3 linked regions of the Oryctolagus cuniculus genome follow. The protein of the gene in region 1 binds, or shares a complex with, the protein of each later gene. Links are inferred from orthologs where the notes say so. Each region holds a gene or a part of one and is shown in the gene's direction. Other genes may lie near its edges.

Evidence for each region.
Region 2: the proteins of UNC80 (region 1) and NALCN are in contact, whole or in part, in a cryo-EM structure (PDB 7SX3), measured with the Homo sapiens proteins. The link is inferred for Oryctolagus cuniculus from reciprocal best matches to the Homo sapiens genes UNC80 and NALCN. Residues at the interface, in NP_115893.1 of Homo sapiens: Lys1979, Asn2004, Glu2005, Cys2006, Asp2007, Leu2128, Arg2129, Leu2130, Pro2131, Pro2134, Arg2135, Ile2138, Asp2139, Phe2142, Phe2145, Ser2146, Glu2179, Asp2184, Glu2185, Met2187, Leu2188, Asn2191, Asn2194, Ile2198, Leu2199, Glu2202, Ser2226, Leu2227, Ser2228, Gln2231; in NP_001337678.1 of Homo sapiens: Asn639, Met643, Val644, Ile646, Lys648, Leu649, Pro650, Phe653, Val655, Pro656, Lys657, Ile658, Arg659, Glu660, Phe662, Met663, Lys664, Gln665, Phe666, Ile667, Arg669, Val711, Ser713, Arg715, Ala716, Arg717, Leu719, Lys722, Glu723, Ala725.
Region 3: the proteins of UNC80 (region 1) and UNC79 are in contact, whole or in part, in a cryo-EM structure (PDB 7W7G), measured with the Mus musculus proteins. The link is inferred for Oryctolagus cuniculus from reciprocal best matches to the Homo sapiens genes UNC80 and UNC79. Residues at the interface, in NP_780719.2 of Mus musculus: Gln23, Thr24, Trp27, Ser31, Leu34, Arg35, Pro36, Ala80, Pro83, His84, His87, Ser94, Asn95, Asn180, Ala183, Leu187, Phe190, Leu191, Arg337, Leu340, Gln341, Pro342, His343, Arg1317, Asp1320, Glu1321, Asp1324, His1545, Val1546, Asp1547; in XP_030102533.1 of Mus musculus: Thr120, Tyr123, Ser127, Ala130, Thr131, Leu168, Ser169, Ser172, Met175, Ile176, Gln179, Tyr180, Tyr207, Tyr211, Gly212, Pro213, Ser214, Val390, Cys391, Glu394, Glu402, Phe405, Arg472, Cys541, Asp917, Phe920, Ser965, Glu966, Phe967, Ser968.

The regions. Positions count from the first base shown.
Region 1 is NC_091434.1:30,083,504-30,087,939, reverse strand, and holds part of UNC80 (protein unc-80 homolog), read left to right. Parts: intron 1-1,544; coding exon 1,545-1,761; intron 1,762-2,425; coding exon 2,426-2,566; intron 2,567-3,783; coding exon 3,784-4,052; intron 4,053-4,436. UniProt on the Homo sapiens protein: Auxiliary subunit of the NALCN sodium channel complex, a voltage-gated ion channel responsible for the resting Na(+) permeability that controls neuronal excitability.
Region 2 is NC_091440.1:11,691,205-11,695,640, forward strand, and holds part of NALCN (sodium leak channel NALCN), read left to right. Parts: intron 1-242; coding exon 243-375; intron 376-1,030; coding exon 1,031-1,146; intron 1,147-3,389; coding exon 3,390-3,547; intron 3,548-4,436. UniProt on the Homo sapiens protein: Voltage-gated ion channel responsible for the resting Na(+) permeability that controls neuronal excitability. NALCN channel functions as a multi-protein complex, which consists at least of NALCN, NALF1, UNC79 and UNC80.
Region 3 is NC_091451.1:38,574,578-38,579,013, forward strand, and holds part of UNC79 (protein unc-79 homolog), read left to right. Parts: intron 1-193; coding exon 194-376; intron 377-1,185; coding exon 1,186-1,348; intron 1,349-3,732; coding exon 3,733-3,882; intron 3,883-4,436. UniProt on the Homo sapiens protein: Auxiliary subunit of the NALCN sodium channel complex, a voltage-gated ion channel responsible for the resting Na(+) permeability that controls neuronal excitability.

The DNA.
Region 1 (4,436 bases):
TTTCAAGTACTTTATATAAAATTTATATCATATTATTTGATCCAGTGAGATCCTTATTCTTCCTGTTTTGCAGATAATAAATTGACCTTTAAAAATGTTACACAATTTGTCCAACATTAAACTTAAATTCAAAAGTGAGCCTTCTAGTTAAATAGTTCATGCACTTGTAAAACCACCACTACACTCTGTCTCCTATTTTTATGTTTATTTATTTTCATCTATTTGAAAGAATCACACACACACACACACACACCCCTACGTGCACATACACACAAACAGATCATCCATCTTCTGGCTCACTCCTCAAAAGCTCTCAACAGCCAGGGCCAAGTCAAAGCCAGGAGCCTGGAACTCCATCCTAGTCTTACACAAATGGCAGGGACTTGAGCCTTCTGCTGCTGCCTCTCAGCATTACCAGAAAACGGGATCAGAAGCAGAATAGCCAGAGTTCAAAGCCATACTCCCATACAGCATGCTGGCATCCCAAGCGGTGGCTTAACACACTGCACCACAACACCCGCCCCACACTTCATTTTTTTTTTTAAGTACATGGTACTAACCACGTAGAAAATAACATGTGTAAACTGAAAATAAACAGTGGTTTTCTCTTTTTCAAAATTATTAATTTAATGTGTCAATGTAGAACCACAGAACATATTAACTTACGTATGAGCTTAGAGTATTGTTAAAGTAAACAGCCCTGTCTTCATTAATAATGCACCATCAGCAATGGCTTTCATTTCCCCAAAAACATTGCTATTTGAGGGGGAAAAGACATTTTTGACACTTTTGTACCTGAAAAAGTTGAGGAGTTTTTAAAAATATAAGTGCCCCTGCCTAATTCCAAATCAATTAAATCTGAGTTCCCAAAGGCTAAGCCCAGGTAGTGGCATTTTTTTTGAAAGCTTCTCAGTTGCAGTGTTAAACTCCTATTTCATTTGATCTTGGATTCCTTTGCCTGGCAGGAATGATGGATTTGTACCAATGAGTGCTCTCTGTCTTCTGTGGCTTCCCCCCATGAACAGTAGCACAGATTTGAAGTTGGCTGACAAGACAATGGATGTCAGTTTTGAAAAATGGGACAGCAAAAAGGCTCATCCAATTATTTACTCAGGAATCCCTTTCTCTGGTCCAGTGGTTCTCAAATTTAATTGTGCATCAAAACCACCAACAGGCTTGTTAAAGCCCACATTGTTGGGCCTCACTTTCTAAGTTTCTGATGCAGGATGTCTGGGGTTGAACCTGAGAAATTGCATTTCTCCCAAGTTCCCAAGTGATGCTGATGTTGCCAATCCACACCTAAAGGACCACCACCCTGATCAGTCCTAATTGAAAGATTCATGACATGTGTGACTTTAGCTTCATTTCTTTTGTTCCTTTAGCACATAGGGGAAAATCTCCTATTTCTGTTGGATGATATTGAATGACTCTCTGGGTCTTGTCTTCCCTGAATATTTTCTGTGTTCTATAGTGGATCAAGGAGCCTCTTGGGAAGCAAACTGTAGCCTTTCCAGTGGCTAATCCTCCTCCTCTCATTGTTGTAGTTCAAGAGCCGCAAAGAAGACCGGGAGAGGAAAGGCTCTATTCCATTCCACCACACGGGGAAGAGGAGGCCACGAAGAATGGGAGTGCCATTCCTGCTTCACGAGGACCACCTGGATGTGTCTCCCACTCGCAGCACCTTCTCCTTTGGCAGCTTCTCTGGACTTGGAGAAGACAGGAGAGGCATTGAAAAAGGAGGCTGGCAAACCACCATTTTAGGTGAACACAAAGATCTTTCAAAATAGGGCAGACCTCAAGGGAACTGTTCAGGAATTTGGATCTAGAGCTCCTGGGCAAATTTGAATTTTTCTTAAACAGTTTAGACAAGAAATTTGGGCCCAGACTCAGGCTCCCCAGCACCAAAACAATGCTGTGTGTTCACAAAGAAACGCAGAGAATGTAGCTGACTCTGCAAGAATGCTGTATAATTAGGTAATGGCCCTGTTTCTTAGATCATTCTAGATGCTGAAACGGCATCAGAGGGTACTGGGAATTGCCTTTCATTTTGAATCTAAAGACAAACTTTTATTGAGTTCATTTTTTAAAAAAGGGAAAAGCAAGCAAAGAAAATGAAACATTTCCCCTTTATTGAAGGCATATCCAGCAGACCAGCTTGAAATCAAAAGTTGACAGCTGGGAGGCCCACGGCAGATGGCTTCTGACAGTTGAGTTAGACTGGGGCTGACCTTATCACAGGCAACTTCATCAATCATCCTGCCCCCTGACTATTCCCAAGGCAAATTTAATTCTTGCTATTTTGGCTGCGCTTCCTGCTCTTCCTAATATTCGCTCACTCTCACTGCGTGTCCTTTGGAAAGACAAAACCTGGGCAGAGACCCTTTCAGGTATTACAGCCCTCTTGTGTTGGTCTTGTTCATCACAGGGAAATTGACCCGGCGGGGCAGTTCAGATGCAGCCACGGAGATGGAGAGCCTGAGTGCCAGGCACTCCCACTCCCATCATACGCTGGTGAGTGACCTGCCAGACCACTCCAACAGCCACGGAGAAAACACCGTCAAAGAAGGTGGGCAGGAACTCGCACCTGTGTTCCTATTTCTCTTTCCTGTTCTTACACCATGTTCCACTTTCGTTGTTATCCACTTTCTTAAGTTTTTTGAAAACATGTATCTTGCATGATATTGCTTGGTAATTTACTTGTGAGCCATTCTTAGCGTCTTCTTAGCATCAGGAGTTATTTGACACCAGATAAAGACCACCACACCTTTCAGAGAGAACAAGGACAAGCTGTTCATACTTGTCTTCAGGAAGTCATAGTTCCACAGGGCTAGCTGAGACCTCGGAAGCAGCTACATGGAGTGCTTTGATGCTCTAATATATCCCTCTGAAAGGCATGGGCACCTTCAGCAGGAGGAAGGTCACTGACTTCCAAGGCCACAGTGTCTATTTCAGAGAAATGCCTTATTTACTTTATATGGAGCAAACATATGTCTCTGGGTGGAACCAACGACAAATTCTTAATCTACATTTGTTCTTGAATAATGAATTATTTTTCTTATTATTATGTATAACCTTAACCTCCTTCTCCCTGAATATTTCAAGTATTCAATGACATTAGTTAGTACTATGAATTTATATTCCCTTACTGTATACTAAATGAGAATAAATTTTTTCCACTCTGTTGTTTCTTAATTCACTATATAAAAACACATATTTCAACTGTCATAAACATAGGGAGGGGACCTAGATCCTGGATTTGGACTGGCAATGCCCTGGCCATTGCAGCCATTTGGGGAATGAATCAGCAAATATAAGATATTCTCTCTCTCTCTCTCTCTCTCTCTCCTTCTCCCTCTCTCCCTCTCTCTTTCTTTCTCTCTCTCCTCTCTCCTCTCTGTAACTCTGCCTTTCAAATAAATAAAATAAGTCTTTTTAAAAAAACATACATGAAATACTTCAACTAATCTAGTTTATGTAAGTATTGTCTGTCACCTATCAGTGGGTCAAATCCACCTATTATGATCAACCAAACTAAGTCAGTGTTAGACAAAAGTTAAATGCTAGCCTTAAGAAGCCAATTGGAATCCATACATTTCTATAATTATTTATCAGATTACATGGCTTTAACAGCTTTGGCAATTTCAGGGAAGCTGAAATAGTTTTGAGACTATGAATCAAACATGTACAAAAGCTACAGCTCTGACTGTTAATACTAGCTTAACTGTTGAACTGATGTTGCGGATTGATGTGGACAAAACTAAGACATTGCTTTCGTTTTGTTAGTGCGATCCCAGATCTCCACGATAACGGTTGCAACCTTCAACACCACATTGGCATCATTCAATGTAGGCTACGCAGACTTCTTCAGTGAGCACATGAGGAAGCTCTGCAACCAGGTGCCCATCCCAGAGATGCCACATGAACCCCTGGCATGTGCAAACCTTCCTCGAAGCCTTACAGACTCCTGCATAAACTACAGCTACTTGGAGGACACAGAACACATTGATGGGACCAGTAACTTTGTCCACAAGAATGGCATGCTTGATCTTTCTGTAAGGGGCAAGATTCTTTCCTACCAAACCTAGAAATATATTGACTCTTTAGCCTGATTTCTGTCATGTTGAACAAGTGAGCACATAGATTCTTAGAAATGTTGAATTGTAAAATTAAAAAGCAATACTCATATAGAAATGCTGCAAATGTATCAATTGTCATAGATGAACCTTCTCTTTCTTCAAGTGTCCTATTAGATTTGATATTATCTTAGAGTATTTTTATAACGAAAAATTAGTGAATCCCAAATATATATATATATATATATATATAAATGTACATATATATGTAAGTGTTTGCTAGGTCATTTTTCTCTAGAACAAAAAAGTAAAAAACTTTTATTTTCTTTTATTATATAAATCACAGGACTACAAAGTTCCTGT
Region 2 (4,436 bases), on another chromosome or scaffold:
CAAACAGTTTTCTTTGCGCCTCTAAAACTGGCAGTGAACTTGGCATTCTACAAGACGAAAAGCACAGCATAAATGAAATATTCCTTTTGATTTTTGCTCTAGCTGATGTTCCCAATGTATGCGGCTTTGGAAAAGTTACTTTGAAGTTTATTCTATATGGTTAGGGATATGCTCACTAACTACAGAAATTATTCTCTGTGCTCATCATCGCCTCCCTCTCCCCAAACCCCAACACCCCAAAGGTGCAGCCTCCTTTCTGCACTCCAGATGAATTTACATACTGGGCGACAGACTGTGGGAATTATGCCGGAGCACTCATGTATTTCTGTTCCTTTTATGTCATCATTGCCTACATCATGTTAAATCTGCTCGTAGGTAGGTGATATTCATTGAATATGTTTTCATCTCTTTAAACTCAGGTACTTAGATAATTATGTACAATTTTCAAATAATTAGCTTGGATTGCTTGGGGTGGGTATTTCACAGCATGAATTATAAATGGTTGCCTTCCAACCTAGAAGCTGGAAAGACCTTTGAGAGGCATGTAAATGACAGTTGATTGCAATTTTAAGAATCGTACTCTTTATCATAATTATTAATTTCCAAAGAGCTCTTCCCATGGATTGAGCTGAACAAATATGAGACAGGGCCACTGTCAGCCTTGAAATACTGCATTTGTGTTTTTGAAGGATACATGTTGTTCACCAGCTGTATGACCACACACAATTCAATCTGACCTTTAAAAGCTGCCCTGGAACTCTCCACTAAGAGCTAAAGCCAGCTGGCATCAGTGTCATCTACACAGAGTGTGTGTGTGTGTTCATGACCCTCATGTTTTGGAAAGGCGGAAGCTGGATGAATAGCTCAGTCCAAGTATAAAACATGCCAACTTGGAAGCCATAGTAAAAGCACTTTAAAAATTTGTTCTTATAATGTAGATGATAAAATCCATTATGTATAATAGGGGTTTTTACTTTTCCTAAAAAAGCGACAGCTTAGCATGATTGTCTGACTTCTGAATTTTTTTCAGCCATAATTGTAGAGAATTTCTCCTTGTTTTACTCTACTGAGGAAGACCAGCTCCTAAGTTACAACGATCTTCGCCACTTCCAGATCATATGGAATATGGTGGATGACAAAAGAGAGGTAGGAGAACGACGCGTTTCATGCTGCACCCCAAGAGATCTGCTGACGTAGCTCAAAATTTACCTGGCTTTGTGGCTGGCAGTGGACTTACATGGAATGACCACTGGTGAATTGCAGAAAGCTGTTGTTGACAATTCTGCAGAATGTGTGAGGAGGAGAAAGGACAGAGGAGTTCTTCCTCTTACCCTTTCCAGCCATCGACAACCTCTTCCTCCAACTTGCGTGAGGTCAGCAGGGACCGGAAGTCAAAGCAGCTCAGAAGGAATCCACTGTGGGCTCAGGGCGGGAAAAGGGGGAGACTGAAGCTAGCAAAGGGACAGCAGATAAGCAGGCTCATGATCACAACTTGGAGCAGCACTGCTGATTAAAGCTACAAACACATTATTTAAGGTTATCTCAAAGGGTGTTTTGATCCATTTCTGAGTTATTACTTGAAGGTTTTGACCCTGAAGCTTACTGGTTCTCTAGCGTTAGCCAAAGCAGCAGCAGTTTCTTCTTCCTCATCATCATCCCACTCCTTTCACTTTTCTTCCTTCTTTGTCATAACACACACTCGAGCACATTCTAGACACTGAAGATGGAGAACAAGACAGACAGGCCCTGGGAGTCACACAGCTTATGTCCTACAAGGATTAGCCATAGTAGTAGCACAGTTTGAGCATCACTAATCCAAAGATTTGAAATCTGAAACGTTTCCAAATCTGAAACTGTTTGAGCACCCATGTGGTGAGTAGAGAATTCTGCACCTATGTGACAAGTCTCAGTCAAAAACAGGCACACTAAAAATAGTGATCAGACCAACTTCAGGCTATGTATAGAAGGTAAATAATTTTTGTTTAGGCTCAGTTCCCATCCCAAGACATATTATTATGTATATGCAAATATTCTAAAACCTGGGGGAAAATATGAAATCCAAAATACTTCTTACTACCTACCTATTCCAAGAAGTTTGTTAAGACACCATTTGGGACATGCACATCCTCTATAGAGTATCTGGGTTTAAGTCCTGGCTCCACTCTGATTTCAGCTTCCTGCTAATGCACACCCTAGAAGGCAGTACGTTATGACTGAAGTAGCTGGGTCCCTGCCACCCACGTAGGAGATCTGGACTGAGCTCCCAGTTTCAGCCTGGCCCAGCTCCAGCCATTGTGGGCACTTGGAGAGTGAACCAGCAGATATGAGATTTCTCTGTGTGTTTCCTTATCTAACAAATTTTATTTTAAAAAATAAGCTGTAAGTATTTTATAGAAGGTAAAATGATAGAGTGTGGTTGGGGTCACAGAGACTTCTTCAGCAGGGATGGTGATGGAGTATGGAGAGGAGATAATTGACCTAACATCTAACAGACAAGAATTCAGCCATGGAGGGTCTGAGGGAAGGTCCATAAACAGTGCCAGGAAGAGCCAGTGGAGGGTGCAGAGACCAAGGAGCCAGTGAAGGTGTTGCAGCTCAGGGGTCCTGGCCTTGAGCAGGACCTTCCCTCTCTACCCCACTTTGCTCTTCCTCCCCTCATTGAAGATTCATTCTTTCAGAATTTCTCCCCCAAGATAATGACCTGTAGGAAGAGTACCTGGTCTAACTCTTTCATCTCCTCTGGATCCACTTGAAACTTCCATGGCTGCTGCCTTTAGGAGCCTACTTCCACGCAATACACACAGGGAAACCCATATCACCATTCACACTGAGAGGTTAGCAGCCGACAGGAAGTCACGGCCACCAGTGTTATCCAAAGACACCCAGGGCTGGCAGGGTAGGTGGTGACGCCTTTGAGATTCCTCAGGGTCTGGAACTGTTCCGATCCAGAAAGGAGGAGGAGCCGGGAGCCCAGTTCTCTTGTCTATACTTGTTGTAATCTTGGGGAAGAACTAGAGAGCAGCTAGCCTCCCATGGAAGAGCAACTTGTAACAGATACTACGAAGCATGTAGCATTTGGAGTACCTGAAGGAGGGCTATGCTAGAGTGCGAATGGGTGATTGGAGCCCCAGTGGGGGCTTAGTCAATGGAACGAGCTGCATGAGCCTTACCTGTTGGTTCCAGGGAAGCCCAGGGGAGCTTACCACCCTCCTTGGCTCCAAACACAGATCCCATTGGAACAGAAGAGCACGGCTTAGCTTTTTGTCACACACTGCCTTGGCACACATCTGTGCCCCAGCCTCCAGGGCAGTGTGCTTTGGCTTGGTTGGTTGTGAGAAGGGCAGCCCCAGCGTGTCCCTCCGGCCTCTGACGGCTCGCTCTGCCCACAGGGGGTGATCCCCACGTTCCGGGTGAAGTTCCTGCTGCGGCTGCTGCGCGGGAGGCTGGAGGTGGACCTGGACAAGGACAAGCTCCTGTTTAAGCACATGTGCTACGAGATGGAGCGGCTGCACAATGGCGGTGACGTCACCTTCCACGACGTCCTGAGGTGGGAAGCCTGGGAAATACAGCTCAGAGCAAGGCTGTTCTCCAAAAACGCCAGGTCCACCGCCCTTACAAAGCACAAGTGGCCTTTCTCACCGTCCTGTAGGGATGCCTTCTGAGAGGGGTGGGCAACGGAGGGCTGACATCCGGAGTGGGTGCAGTAGGAGGGTCTGGGGGCACAGCCACCACTTCCTGTTGGGAACAGGGCCATGAAGAGCTACGTGATGGTCCAGGCTCCTGGGCAAAACTGGGATTAAAACCCAGGTCCTCTCTGATAAGAATGCACCTGGCTTGCTTTGGGGCGCTTGGGCCCCCTGCTGGCTCAAACACATTTTCCTAGTATTTCCTGAGCATGCAGACAGAACACAGGGTCAGACGGAGGCTGTGCCATTCCTTTCTGGGAGAGGCATCCATATCAGTTAGCCAGGGCTGCTGTCCCAGTGTCCCACAGAGACAGGGGCCTGGCAATCAGGAATATACTGCCTCCCACTTAACAGGGAGTCTGAGATCAGGGTGGGGGAAGGAGGGGCACTGGCTCCTTCTGAGAGGCCGGAGGCAGAATCTAATCCAGGCCACTCCCGAGTTTGTGGTTGCCGCCAGTGTGTGGCTTGTGGACGTGCCACCCCGATCTCTGCCCTCACCGTCACAGGATATCCTTCCTGTGTGTATCTCTGGGTATGTGTGTTGGTGCACACACTCACGCTCAAATCCCTCCTTTTGTAAGGACACCAGTCCTCCTCACGCCTCTAGTCCGGGCGATCTCATCTTGACTAATTACACTACAGTAACTCTTGGGGTCCCTCTCCGGGGTGCCAGGGGCCAGGACTCCAACATACCTTTTTTGAAGGAAAAGCATTCAAATCATTTGAGCTTCTTCAACAGGAGCCCATGGA
Region 3 (4,436 bases), on another chromosome or scaffold:
TACAAGTTTTTAAAATTTCATGTGAGGATGGACTTTTCTGCTAAGGTGTACAGCTGTTGCTACTACCATTTTATGAGTCACTTGTTAAATGCTTTGCCTTTGTTTTTCATTGGGATGGTTCACATTTTTCCTTATGACTTCTGGGTCTTCTTCGTGGTTTTTCCTTCAGTTATTAATCTTTTCTCTATTTCAGGTTATGGACTATAACATTAATCTGGGAAAACACCTTCTCCCCTTGGTGGTTCAGGTGCTCAAATACTGCTCTTGTCCTCAACTGCGACATTATTTCCAACAGCCACCTCGCTGTTCCCTCTGGTCCCTAAAGCCTCACATCCGGCAGATGTGGTTGAAGGCCTTGCTTGTCATCCTGTACAAGGTGAGTCGCCATCGTCCCTCCTTCTGCGGGTGGGAGGATTCCGCTAGAGGAGCTGCTGACCGGGTGGCTGACCACTGATACTCAGCTGTCTAGAGGGAAATGATGCTATACCATTTCACATATCAAAACTGCCTTCTCTCCTTCCCTCACCTCCCTCTCTCTCTTGCTATGTAAATACTCATTGTGCATATTTACTGTAGATATATAAATGGAAAGCTTAAAACTCCATAAAACCTGTGATGACAATAGCTTACCAACATGGAACACCCTTAGGGATTCAAGTTGAGAATTTTGTAGGGTAGAAGTTTGACCTTCACAAGAATAATTGTGATATGTAATTAGAAGAAACAAACAGCTACTGGAATAAAAATAGACAAGGGAGACCATGTCATTGTGTGCTCTAAAAATGTTTAAAGCAAAAAAAAAAAAAATGAATTGTAGGACATTTATCAATAACTACTGTTTATGCTTGGAATCTCGCATTTTATCTAAGTATTAATTATTATGTCAGAAAACAAAGAAGATACTTGAAAGTGTATTCACCCACCAAAGGTTTCTGCCAGATAATTTTCTTGAAAGCAATTGGAACAATGAACTGTCATGTGTTGCTGTCAGTGGTTTGGCGCAAGAGGAAGGGAATATGATCCCTTTAGAAAATAAGGCGTGCTCAGAATCTGTGCTTTCAATTGTCTGTGTGTATTTATTTTTATCTCCAAGTAATACGGAGGAATAGATCTGGCCAGGTCAAGTGGGAAGATGTACCCTGTGAATTAACCGTTTGTGTCTTTCTCCTTCCGTTTCTTGTTCAGTATCCGTACCGAGACTGTGAGATCAGCAAACTCCTGCTGCACCTGATTCACATAACAGTCAATACCCTCAATGCCCAGTACCATAGCTGCAAGCCCCATGCCACGGCAGGACCTCTGTACAGTGACAGCAGTAACATCAGCAGATACAGTGAGAAAGAAAAAGGTACTTCCATCCTGGGATTCTCTCCCAGACTTAGCTCAAATACAAAATACATTTCTGTACAGTGTTTTTCTTACGAGGTAGAAGAGCACCCTCCGATACCATTCTGGAGTCCAAAAAAAAAAAAAATCACTGACCACTTAGTTAATTTTCCCACTTTGCCATGAATGTTATTGCTTTAACTTTCTAATTGGGCATTCGAGAGAAATAATATGCTTCTGAAGCCCTAGCATGTTTTATAAAATATATGCTGCTGTTTGATTCAGAAAGCTTTGTAAGCCGTTCCTTGAGTATTGGAAATACCCTGCCCCTGGGCTGTGAGTAGATCTTGGTTGGCACTTGGGGGAGCCATCATGTGTAGGTCTCTAGCTTGCTCCTGAACTTAGGGTTCCCAGGATTTGAACAGAGTCTCAATGGGCTGATGTGCTTTCCCCCAGCCTCATTATTCAACAGGGAATAATTCAAGGCAGTGAAAGTGACACAGTTGTGCTGCGTAGATTTAAATCATTTCCCATGTTGACACCATTTCTATTGATAGAGTTTCCTCCAGGGAGGCAGTAGAATGAAGATGTAGACAGAGTGAGATCACAGCCTGGGTGTTTTCAGGTGGAAGACGAAGAATGAAGGCGTAGCCTTCGGCTTGTAAAAGGCAGCACCATCTGCTCTAGTCCTGGGAGAAAGCCGAGTGGGTCGTGATCCTTGGTGGTATTAGTACAGTCTGATTTGGTAAGGCTTCTGGAAGTGTCTCCATCGAATGGGTTGTAAGCAGCGTTGCACTGGTTTTTGTGGAACAGTCCAAGAACCTAGGGTGTCTGCAGACACCAGTCTGAGAACTGGGTTCTGTAAGTTCTGGTGTCATCCGGATCCTTCCGGAAGCATGGCTTGGCTATCAGCTTGGGTCTTAGTGTCTGAGAGTTTAGATTCTGATAAACTAAGGATGTAAAACCTTTCTGGGTGGGAGGTGCCATCTTGTGGTCTTCTGTCTGTTGTATAATAGAAGTGACAGTTATTTGCTTGAAAAACTATATTTCAAAGGAGATTGTTCTGAAAAGGAAATAAAGACATAGATCATTTTGTTGCATTTCCCTGCAAACAGGGGCACTTGATAGGCATTCGCATCTCTGTGGAAGTTCCCTGGAGGGGGGTTGTCTCCATTTTGATCGTGAACACTTTTTGTTTGGTTAAAAAGATTAGTATGGTTATTTCATCTACAATTTACTGCTTCCAGTTTCATATATTTGTGGAATCTTGTGTATTGGAACAGAATCAGTCCTTTAATTTTTCTATACCCCCTTGTAAGAAATCTCGAATAATCATAATCACACCTGAGCCTTATTTTGTCACATAGGTAGATCTACATATAGGCCAAATAGTATACTTCCGGTGATATTCAACTCAAATATTAGCTTATCTCCATTTGTTGTGGTAGGAAATGCATTTAGTAGCCTTTTTGGGGCTTTGCTTTTGCCATTTTGTGGGTAGCTTCGGCTTTGTGAAGGATAAAAGGAGGGAATTTGTTGAGTGCACTCCTTGGCTAACAGCATAGGAATCGTTTCCTCATTAACTGTACTGGGGTTATGTCTGCGTCCAAAGTGGCCCGATGGGGGTAGAAGCAAGGCCTGGAAACAAGCGCATCAGGCGCTCTGAGAGAATGCCTGCCTGCGGAGCCTTAGGGCCGCGGGAGCGCAGGTTCTCTCTGGGATTCCGCAGACCGAGAGCAGTTACGTGTGGTGGACTCCTCGGGGGAGGGGCTTCCACAGGGAGGAAATATTATTTTCTGTTTCCTTTTTCCTTTGTTTCCTCTTTCAGTCCATGATCATTTGTGGAGCTTTTGAGATGACCAGTGGCTTTTCTAAGCTTTTTCTGTGTGTTGTGTGTTTCATTACCAAATGTAGAGTACAGTATTTTGCATTCACAAAGTATAAGGTGCATGTACTGTTAGGCTGTGTCTATGCCAGTTCCCAGATCCCAGGGAGGCATATGCTTTTTTGGAAAGGGCAAGACCCACTCATGATGTTTGATTTCGTTTTGTCAAATGAGCTGCCCAGAGCAGGCAAGTTCAAGCGGTGTCACAGATTCCTGGAAAAAGTCCTGGCATCTGTGTGTCACCGGGTTCTACGCACGCTGGAAACGGTCCCCAGGAAGGCTCTACTGAAATACTGAGATGCCTCTCATAAAAATGCTGCCAGTTGTCACATAGAAAACGATGGTGGCTCTGCTGGATCGCTTGTTGCATGGATAAAACACCCACCTGTGGCTGGGCGGGTGCTGGTGCCGAAATCACTGCAGACTGTGTTCCCCAATGCTTTCAGTGAATTGCTTGTGTAGACACAGCCTAAGAGAGAATAACCTCTTAAGTGTAATTTTGACTTTCTCTCCCCAATTAGAAGAAGATAGTGTTTTTGATGAATCTGATATTCATGATACACCTACTGGACCCTGCCATAAAGAGTCTCAAACTTTTTTTGCAAGATTGAAAAGGATAGGCGGCAGCAAAATGGTGAAATATCAGCCGGTTGAGATGAATGTTCAGAGAAGTATGAATTTTTTCTCTTAGTAATTTTATGCAAAAATGTTGTACTCTACCGTTTGTTTGGGGTGAAATCTTAATTTTATTATGTTACTACGCATTTTAAGACTGTTGATTTATATATATATATGTATGCACAAACAGTATATATATATACCCGCTTATATATATACGTGAATTGACAGATACGCCATTAATGTCATGATCGTCTTCGAGGGCCATTGCTTGACTTGATTTGTTGCAGAATGTTTGCTTCTCTTCCACCCAATTTGAATACAGTTTCCTAGTACTGCCTCAGCCAACAAACCAACAAAACACAGATTCTTTCTGCTGTGCACAAATGAATAGAGCTGAGGAATTATCCCAAAGCCTGATTTTTGGAAATCAGACCTTAAACTATCATTTCGGTTTCTTTCATTGCAAAGTTTTCCAGTTTTTGAAATGAGAATGAACCTTACGAAAACTTGGCCAGATAGTTGGTTTTCTTTTCTAGTGGAGCTGGGATTGTCATGATGATTTATGCCAATTGTATGCCCGGATACCAGGGGTTAAAAGAAGGTG